Nothobranchius furzeri: one gene and its partner. The protein of the gene in region 1 interacts with the protein of each later gene in a biochemical or structural test. Links are inferred from orthologs where the notes say so. Each region holds a gene or a part of one and is shown in the gene's direction. Other genes may lie near its edges.

The links.
Region 2: the proteins of serum response factor (region 1) and elk1 form a complex in vitro, tested with the Homo sapiens proteins (2 studies listed by BioGRID). The link is inferred for Nothobranchius furzeri from reciprocal best matches to the Homo sapiens genes SRF and ELK1.

The regions. Positions count from the first base shown.
Region 1 is NC_091752.1:3,822,805-3,826,619, forward strand, and holds part of serum response factor, read left to right. Parts: intron 1-1,634; coding exon 1,635-1,901; intron 1,902-3,815. UniProt on the Homo sapiens protein: SRF is a transcription factor that binds to the serum response element (SRE), a short sequence of dyad symmetry located 300 bp to the 5' of the site of transcription initiation of some genes (such as FOS).
Region 2 is NC_091755.1:47,140,518-47,145,040, forward strand, and holds the start of elk1 (ETS domain-containing protein Elk-1), read left to right. Parts: upstream 1-1,623; 5' UTR 1,624-1,742; coding exon 1,743-1,767; intron 1,768-3,137; exon of another isoform or gene 3,138-3,376; intron 3,377-3,587; exon of another isoform or gene 3,588-3,684; intron 3,685-4,523. UniProt on the Homo sapiens protein: Transcription factor that binds to purine-rich DNA sequences. Forms a ternary complex with SRF and the ETS and SRF motifs of the serum response element (SRE) on the promoter region of immediate early genes such as FOS and IER2.

The DNA.
Region 1 (3,815 bases):
AGCCAAGCTAACGGTGATGGCACCGTGCCTTCACAAGCACCAGAGTCATCCTCCGCAAAACCAATGACTCATTTGGAGAAAATAAAGCTTTCTCGGGAGTTCGTTAGGAGTGCAGTGTCGGGGTGTTTTCGGATGGAGTTGAATTTCAGCAGGTTTTAGATTCACTGCGTTTTCTTGTGTTGTAATGAACCAGCTACCTCATGTCCTCCATCATCTGTGGTTTTACTACACCCACCCCCCTTTGCCTTTGCAGACCAGACCTTTGCTGTCTCTCAGCTCTGTCACACACACTCTATTCTGGGAATCTTATCTCCTTTTTCAGTGTTATTTGTGGAATATGTCACAGTTCACCTCAGGAGTATGTATAGATTCTAGTGTTGGATCCTTTCCCCCTCAGGTACAGCAAGCCAACTTTTCTTTAGCTGCGGATGTGGAAAAGGTTGTTGGTACCTTCTGGTTAAAGTAGTGAAAAAACCCACAATTATCCCTGACAGGGATGTGTATTTTTGAAATTCTGGCGATACGATACATATCACGATACAGGGGAGACGATACGATATATCACGATATATTGCGATACATTCAGTCAGACGTTACAAGCATTTTTTTTACTGAATTTATTGTAAGAATGTTCAACAGTCCAAACTGATACGTAACATGTTTAACATGAAGTATCTGAACCATGATGGAGGAAGTTACAGTTCAATGGTGGAAACAAAACCTGTTGCACACTGCTGCCAACTAGCGGGTGGCGATCGAATTGCACAAAACAAAAAGAAAATACACAAAAGTTTGCATGTAAATTCTTTCAAGAATTAGATACACGGCTTTTGAATATCGATGTAATAATCGCAGGAAAAAATATCACGATATATTGCCATATCGATTTTTCCGATACACGGTTTTTTTTAATATCGATATAATATTGTTAGAAAAAATATCACGATATATTGCCATATCGATATTTTCTTACATCCCTAATCCCCGAAACACTGATCCTGGCCAAAGTAAGAATTTACAGAAAATCAACTTTCTTTGTCTCAGGTTTGAAGGACATTTGGAACAGTTGTGTATTTTGTTCTGATCCATCTCATATTAGCCTTTCTTCAGTTTTTCTTTTTTCTTTTTCTTTTCATGCATTCACTTCCAGGGAGGTTGTCTACAGTCCTGTGGACCTAAAACCACTGAATGACACGTCCAACTAAAGCCAGAGGGACATTAAGCTACTTGGCAATAGTCTTCTAGCCTTTACCTTTAACATGCTGGTCAACAATTGTCTTTGCACTCTCCTGAGACAACTCTGCCCTCAGCTTTTGGTGGTCCATGTCCAGTGTGGTACACACCCGGATACCAAACAGCACTGTGACTACTTTTTAGCCTTTAAACAGACCAAACACCCCTGATGCTGATTAAAGGAGCCGTCTGTTAAAGTGTTCTTATGGTCTTTTCTAGGGGTGCCATCCGTTAAGTTAAAGCCAGTTTTACAGTTTCAGTTATTTTATTTTGTCTGATTACTTTTGTACGTTTCAAGTTATTTCCGTGTCCATGTCAGTTTATCTATAAATCACATTTTAAGAAAAAGCTAAATTTGACCAAAATCAAATGACATTTATTTGTTATTCATCTCTTCCCAGGCCTATGAACTCTCCACCCTGACGGGAACCCAGGTTTTGCTACTCGTGGCCAGCGAAACGGGTCACGTGTACACTTTTGCAACCCGAAAGCTCCAGCCCATGATCACGAGTGAAACGGGCAAAGCCCTGATCCAAACGTGCCTCAACTCTCCTGACTCGCCGCCCCGCTCCGACCCCTCCATGGACCAGCGCATGAGCGCCATGGGCTTCGAGGAGACGGATCTCACCTACCAGGTGTCCGAGTCAGAGACCATGGGTGACTCTAAGGTGAGAACAGGAAGTGGGACATGACTGTAATGTCTGGCAGCTGTTAAACTATAAACAACAGTGTTTTTGCCCAAAATAGATTCTGTTAAAACCAAGCAAGTCTCTAATGGAGACAGATGTTGCAGGGGGAGTTTGAGGGAAGAAAGATGGAACACCGTAGTGAGTTACTAATGAATAGAATAGGAACTCTCTCCAGAAAAGGCCAGCAGACAAGGGAGCAAATAAATCAGACCCACAAACGGCAGTGGAAATAAAAATCCCTCTTGTAAACAGATTTGTAGTATGTTTCTGGTTTGGGCTCGTTAGATTTTCATCACTTTCTAGTCCATCAAAGGCCTGCAGACCAAAGGAGAGTCAGATAAGATGTGGAGGGTTTAGTGAATCAAGCAGTCTACACTTTACCTCGCTGACCTTTCACCCATGAGAACCTCCCAACACCCCTGAGCATAAATCAGCGCAGGTCTGGCCTGTGTTAGGGTGAGGACCATACAGCCTGCTGTTTGTTTTACGTTTTAGGATGGAGCTCTTCTTTGTTCAGGGATAACGGTTTAATTCTTAAACCTGTGCTGCGTTGAGTGCGGGGATTTTTCACTTTAGGTTTAATTAAAAATGCTAAATCTCTTCTAACTTTTATTGGGTTTGTTTTGGCATAAAGTTTTAACTTTAGCGAACTCTTAAAAGTTTGACGTAGAGACGCTCCATCATGCTCACCGTTGTGTGCTCACCTTCAGAACAACCCAACTCCCCTCCACTGTTGACACAGCCTCGAGCGTGCTTCTTTGAAGACGGGACACTTGCGAGGCCCGGTTGGCCACGTGCTGTTTTTACAGGAGCTAACTAACGCGCCCCATCCTCCGTCAGGGATGGGAGATCAACCTTTGCATGTTAATCCACTCTCCAGCCCGCACTGCTCATTGATAAAAATTAGATTCTGCCTCTGTTGCCATATATGGTATGGTTTCCCTGCCTGCGCTCTTGGCTGAGGCCCCTCACATTCCTTATAAGCTGCAGCTGTCTTTGGAGTCCTGTGATTTCACCCCCCTCACTTCCAACCCCACCCCCAACCGCTTTAGTGATATGAAGAGGGGGTATGGATTTAGATATGAGCAAGTGGAAGGGAAACGTTTGACCAAAACTACCCATCCTGCATCATGTGGTGTCCGTTTGGGCGGTTGATGGTGATGTTGCGGCTCTTGGGGCTAAGAGACCAGCACTAGTTTGTTTTGTTAGAACGAGGCAGGTGGATCAGGGTTCCCGTGTGAGTGTTGGGACACCGTCCATCATGAGGGAAGCTTGTCATGCATACAGTCCAACCTAGCCTAAACAATCCAGTGGCTGGCGGGGGTGAGTAGAGAACTCTAGCAGAGACGAGAAAAAGATGCCTGAGTTAAAGGTGCAATAAGTAGAAATGAAATAAAAGGACATCCTGTGATAAAAAATTTGGCTACTGCAACCACTTTAAACAGCTGTGGAGCTTTTTGTCGGTCGTCGTAAAATTACAATCGTCGGCGCTGCAGCATTAGCTCGCAGGAGATGTGGCACCCCCACACTCACTGATGGTAAACAGTAGTTTGTTTATGTATTTAGTAGTTACGCCCCTCCCTTGTTTGTTTTGAAAACCCCACAGCCAGCTGGATATGAAACATCAGTATTCAGTTTCAGTGTAACCCTCCTTCCAAAATAACTGAAACATTAGACTCTTTTGGGGTTTTCTCACCATAAAAATCTCACTAGAATCTTCCATACTGCTCCTTGAATGCTTTTCTCTGTATGTCAGACGTAGCTCCCGTCTCCATGTAAAACCACCTGCACAGTTGAACTCGGGGGTCCCTAACTAGCATACCCATAAACAAATGTGATTGGCTTAATGGGAAGTCTTCCGCAACGATATTTATAAAAGCAAAGGTCACTTCC
Region 2 (4,523 bases), on another chromosome or scaffold:
TCAGATTTGTTCATTTATCAGAGGAATGGCCCATTTGTTAACAGTGAAGGGGCGTGGCCTAAAGTCCAACCACTAGGGGTTGCTCAAAATGTTTTAATACGGTACGAAGTTAATTAATTTCAGTAATTATTTAAAAGATAAAACTAATACATGACATGACACTCGTTACATGCAAAGTGGGACCTTTCAACCCTATATTTGTTAGAATTGTGATTATTATGGCTTACAACACCTCTACCCCAAATTTAAAATCTCAGTAAAATGAGTTTAAATCAATAAAACCCTGATTGTTTTTACAGAAGGGCTGACAAAGCATTATCATGCATTTATACTAAAGACTTTGTTTGGGCTCCCTTTTCCCGTTACTGAAATAAATTAAATTTTGTGCAATGTTTTCATTTTTTGAGTTTCACCCATAGATTCTCCAAATCAAGAGTGTAACCTGTTTTGGTAAAACAAACAAAAAAAATGGTAAATGGCCTGCATTTGAAATAGCGCCTTCTAGAGTCCTGGAACCCCCCAAGGCGCTTTACAACACAATCAGTGATTCACCCATTCACATGCTGGTGGGGATGCTCTATGATGTAGCCACAGATGCCCTGGGTCACACTGACAGAGGTGACAAAACAAGTACAAATTAATGGTAAATGGCTTGCACTTACAGATTCTTACAGCCCCCAAGGCGCTTTATAACATATTAGTGATTCACCTATTCACACCCTGAAATGAATAATTAAAAGAATAAAGTTTATCTAATTGTCGTTTTTTTATTTTGTGAGATTTAGCACCAAACCAGCTCCCTGGTTCTTTTTTATTTATTAACCTCTAACCTGTATCCTAACAGCTGTTATAAAGTCTGTGTGCTTCACAATGACTGCTAACTGAACGTTTTATTTTGAAAGTCCCTACCGGAAGCGCGCCGGTTTAAACCGCCGTTACTTTGACCGTGAAGAAGAGAGGTGAAGAGGAGTAAACAGGAACAAACTGTGAAAACTCTCTGAAGTTCGGTCGGTCACTCCGAACCCGGTCCACAAACATCTGGACGGACCCCACGGACTACTTTTCCTCCGTCGCGGAGAACTGTGCTCGGCCCCGCGGAACTCTAGGGCGCGTATCCGCAGTGAGCAGCGTTGTTTCGGGACTGACGCAGCAGGAGAGGCGGGGGCAGCGGGCTAGGCTAGGCTAGGCTAACTGCTGCTGCTCTCGCTGGACCTTGAACTTGTTGAAACTTTTTAAAAGCCACCAGCAGCCGATTGTTCAGACACTCGCACTGAAAACCGACGAGAGGATAAGGATAAGGAAGTTTTTTTTATTTTTTTATTTCTCCGGATAAAGGATTTAATCCCGGAGAGCAGCAGGTTTGTTAGCGGATGAAACGTTTCGGTTCACTTTATTCCGCTGACGCCGAGCGCCTTCTCAGCCCCTGGGGGTGAGTTCCGGTGGACTGGTGGAACATCATCGTCTCCGGTGGTGTGGCCGTGCTTTGTGCACGCTTTGGGTCTGGATTTTGGTTCTGTCCGTGTTAGCATGGAGCCTGGCAGCGGCAGCTCGGAGCGGTTACATAACGCCTGCAGGTCGGGAGAGAAGCTGCTGAACGTCTCCTCCTCCTCCTCCCCCTCAGCTCCACAGTGACAGCTCCGCACACAAACACACAACAACAACAACACAACCCCAAGGAGGAGAATACACAGCAGCATGGAGGAGGTGTGAGTTCATAGGCAGGACCAGAACCGGGACTAAACATGGAGACCAACCCGCTCATTAACGGTGAGAGCTTTTCTCTCTCTGTGTGTGTGTGTGTGTGTGTGTGTGTGTGAGAGAGAGAGAGAAGGAGAGAGTGAGTGTGCGTGCGCTCGCAGGTAGCAACAGGTGTGTGAAGCTGCTTGAAGGCGGCCTGCAGCTGCGTTCGATGTTCGGGCTCGTTTGGACCGGAAAGGTTTTATTCTGCTGCTTGTTGAAACCTGTAAAACCCTCAGTCCTGGTCCATAGTCCTGATCTTCATTCCTGATCCCCAGTCCTGGTCCATAGTCCCGATCGGTTCTGATCCATAGTCCTGATCTTCATTCCGGATCCCCAGTCCTGGTCCATAGTCCTGATCGGTTCTGATCCATAGTCCTGATCTTCATTCCTGATCCCTAGTCCCGATCCCCAGTCCTGATCGGTTCTGATCCATAGTCCTGATCCATAGTCCCGATCCCCAGTCTCTGCAGGTCTAGAAGCGGATTCTTGTCCATCCTTTATTGTTTATTTTTGTGAACTCTTCCCCGCCACCTCTTCCTTTCTTCTCCGCCCCTTTCTCTTTCATTTCTGTCTCCGTTGGGATTTAAAACAACCAGAAGCATTTCTACTGACGTTTTGATATCAGGCGGGGCAGTTTAGCTGCTCCACCTGTGAGTAAAACTCCAGACTGCAGCACCTCTCTCACGCCTGAAGCATCTCGAGCATCAGAACGTCCTACGTGTTCTCCACACCAAAACGTTCCAGATCGTCAATGAGAGCTGGGTTAGGTTTTCCTGCTGGACCGTTTCCTCGTGGCTGATCAGAACATCAGAACGTGTTTCATCATCTGTTTCTTTATAAACGTTAGCTGCTTGATGCTGCTGGTTCAGGTGTGGGTTCCTGCTGCACCATAGAACCTGCAGGAAGTCGACTTCCTTCCTGGTGAGGTGTTGGCTCAGTTAAGGCCTGTCTGTCAGGTCCGATCAGGTCGGGTCACACTGCTGTGGTTGAGGATGGTGCGCTGAATGCTGATCGGGTGTCTGAACCAGAGTGACGAGTTACAGATTGACACTGACTCAACTCGTCCATCTGGAACATAAATGTCTCCACTTGTCCTCAGTGAGAGGACAAACCCTCAGACACTTTCTAGTCGGTGATGTAATTCTGACACGTTGCCGTAGCGATGCTGATGCACTGAACTGTTCAGTGAGATGAGATGTGTGAGCCATCATCCTGACAGATGGGGAGTGAAAGTAGTCTGATTACTGTACCATCACGTGTTTTGTAGATTTGGAGAAGGTGTTTGACCACGCCCCAGGGAAGGGGGGAGGGGGGTATTCCTGGAGTATGGGGCACCAGGCCCTCTGCTGTTAGGTCCCTGTATGACCGGTGCCAGAGCTTGGTCCATGTTGCCAGCAGTAAGTTGAGCTCCTGTTTTGGTGGCCTGAGGATCAGGTCTCTGCATTTGCAGATGATGTGTTCCTGTTGGCTTCATCAGAACGTGATCTCCAGCTTTTGCTGGAGCAGTTTGCAGCTGAGTGTGAAGCACGTCTATTGCGTGTTTCTGCAAGATCCTCAAAAGCTTTCGATGATACAGAACAAAAGTGATCATGTGCAGACTCTGGTGTTGCTGCATCTTATACTCGATGTTTAAGAACTACAAAAGAGGAGAAGAGATGACATCAGTAGTAGCACAGAAGTAGACTGCACTGGTTAGAGTGCTCATTGACATTTATCTAGCTACTGATGGCGGTAATTCTGTGTTGTTACTTCTGCTGGACCTTACAATTCAATTCAAAGATACTTTATTAATCCCAGGGGGAAATTAGAGTTTCAGTTCACACGATTCTGAGAGCAGACATACATACATAGGCATAGGCAGCAGCTATTCCTGAAGTGCTGCTTCACCGTCTCCATCATTATGTCGGGATTTCTGGGTTAGCCCTGGATTGGTTCAGATCATACCTGACAAATAGAAATATGTGTGTAAGGATGGGAAGTTATTCCTCAGAATACTCTGATCTACCCTGGGGGGTACCACAGGGCTCGATATTGGGTCCTCTGTTGTTTTCTATTTACATTCTGCCCTTTGGTGACATCTGTCGTGAGCTTGGAGTTCACGTCCACCTTTATGCTGACGATTGTCAGCTGTACCTGCCTCTGAACACGTCAGGTGGTCTCTCTATTTCTATTCTTACGAACTGTTTGACGGAGATCATGACCTGGACGAGTGGAAATTTTCGGAGTCTAAATGATCAGAAAACAGAGGCGATATTGTTTGCTCCGAGCAGACATTCTGACTCTTCCCTGACTGACTGTGGGTCATTTAATGGCCAGCTGAGTGCTTCAGTGACTAATCTTGGTGTTAAACTGGATAGCGCCCTTAGTTTTGACACCCACATCAATGGAGTGATCTCCTCCTCCTTTTTCCACCTTCGTCGGCTGTCAAAGATCAAATCTTTCCTGTCACGACATGATCTTGAGACGGTAGTCCATGCTTTTATTGCGGTGCGATTGGACTACTGTAACTCTGTTTTATTCGGTGTGAGCAAGCGCTCAATAGCCAGGTTGCAAATGGTGCAGAATGCTGCTGCCAGATTTTTAGAGGGCAGGCGCAAGTATGACCACATTCCTCCTGTCCTGGCTGCGCTTCACTGGCTGCCCGTTGATGTAAGGATTCGTTTTAAGATACTTTTGCTGGTTTTTAAAACATTAAATGGTCTGGCCCCTCCTTACTTGGTGTCATTGCTTCAACCACACACCCCTGCACGGTCACTCCGCTCGGAGAACCTCATGCTCCTCTC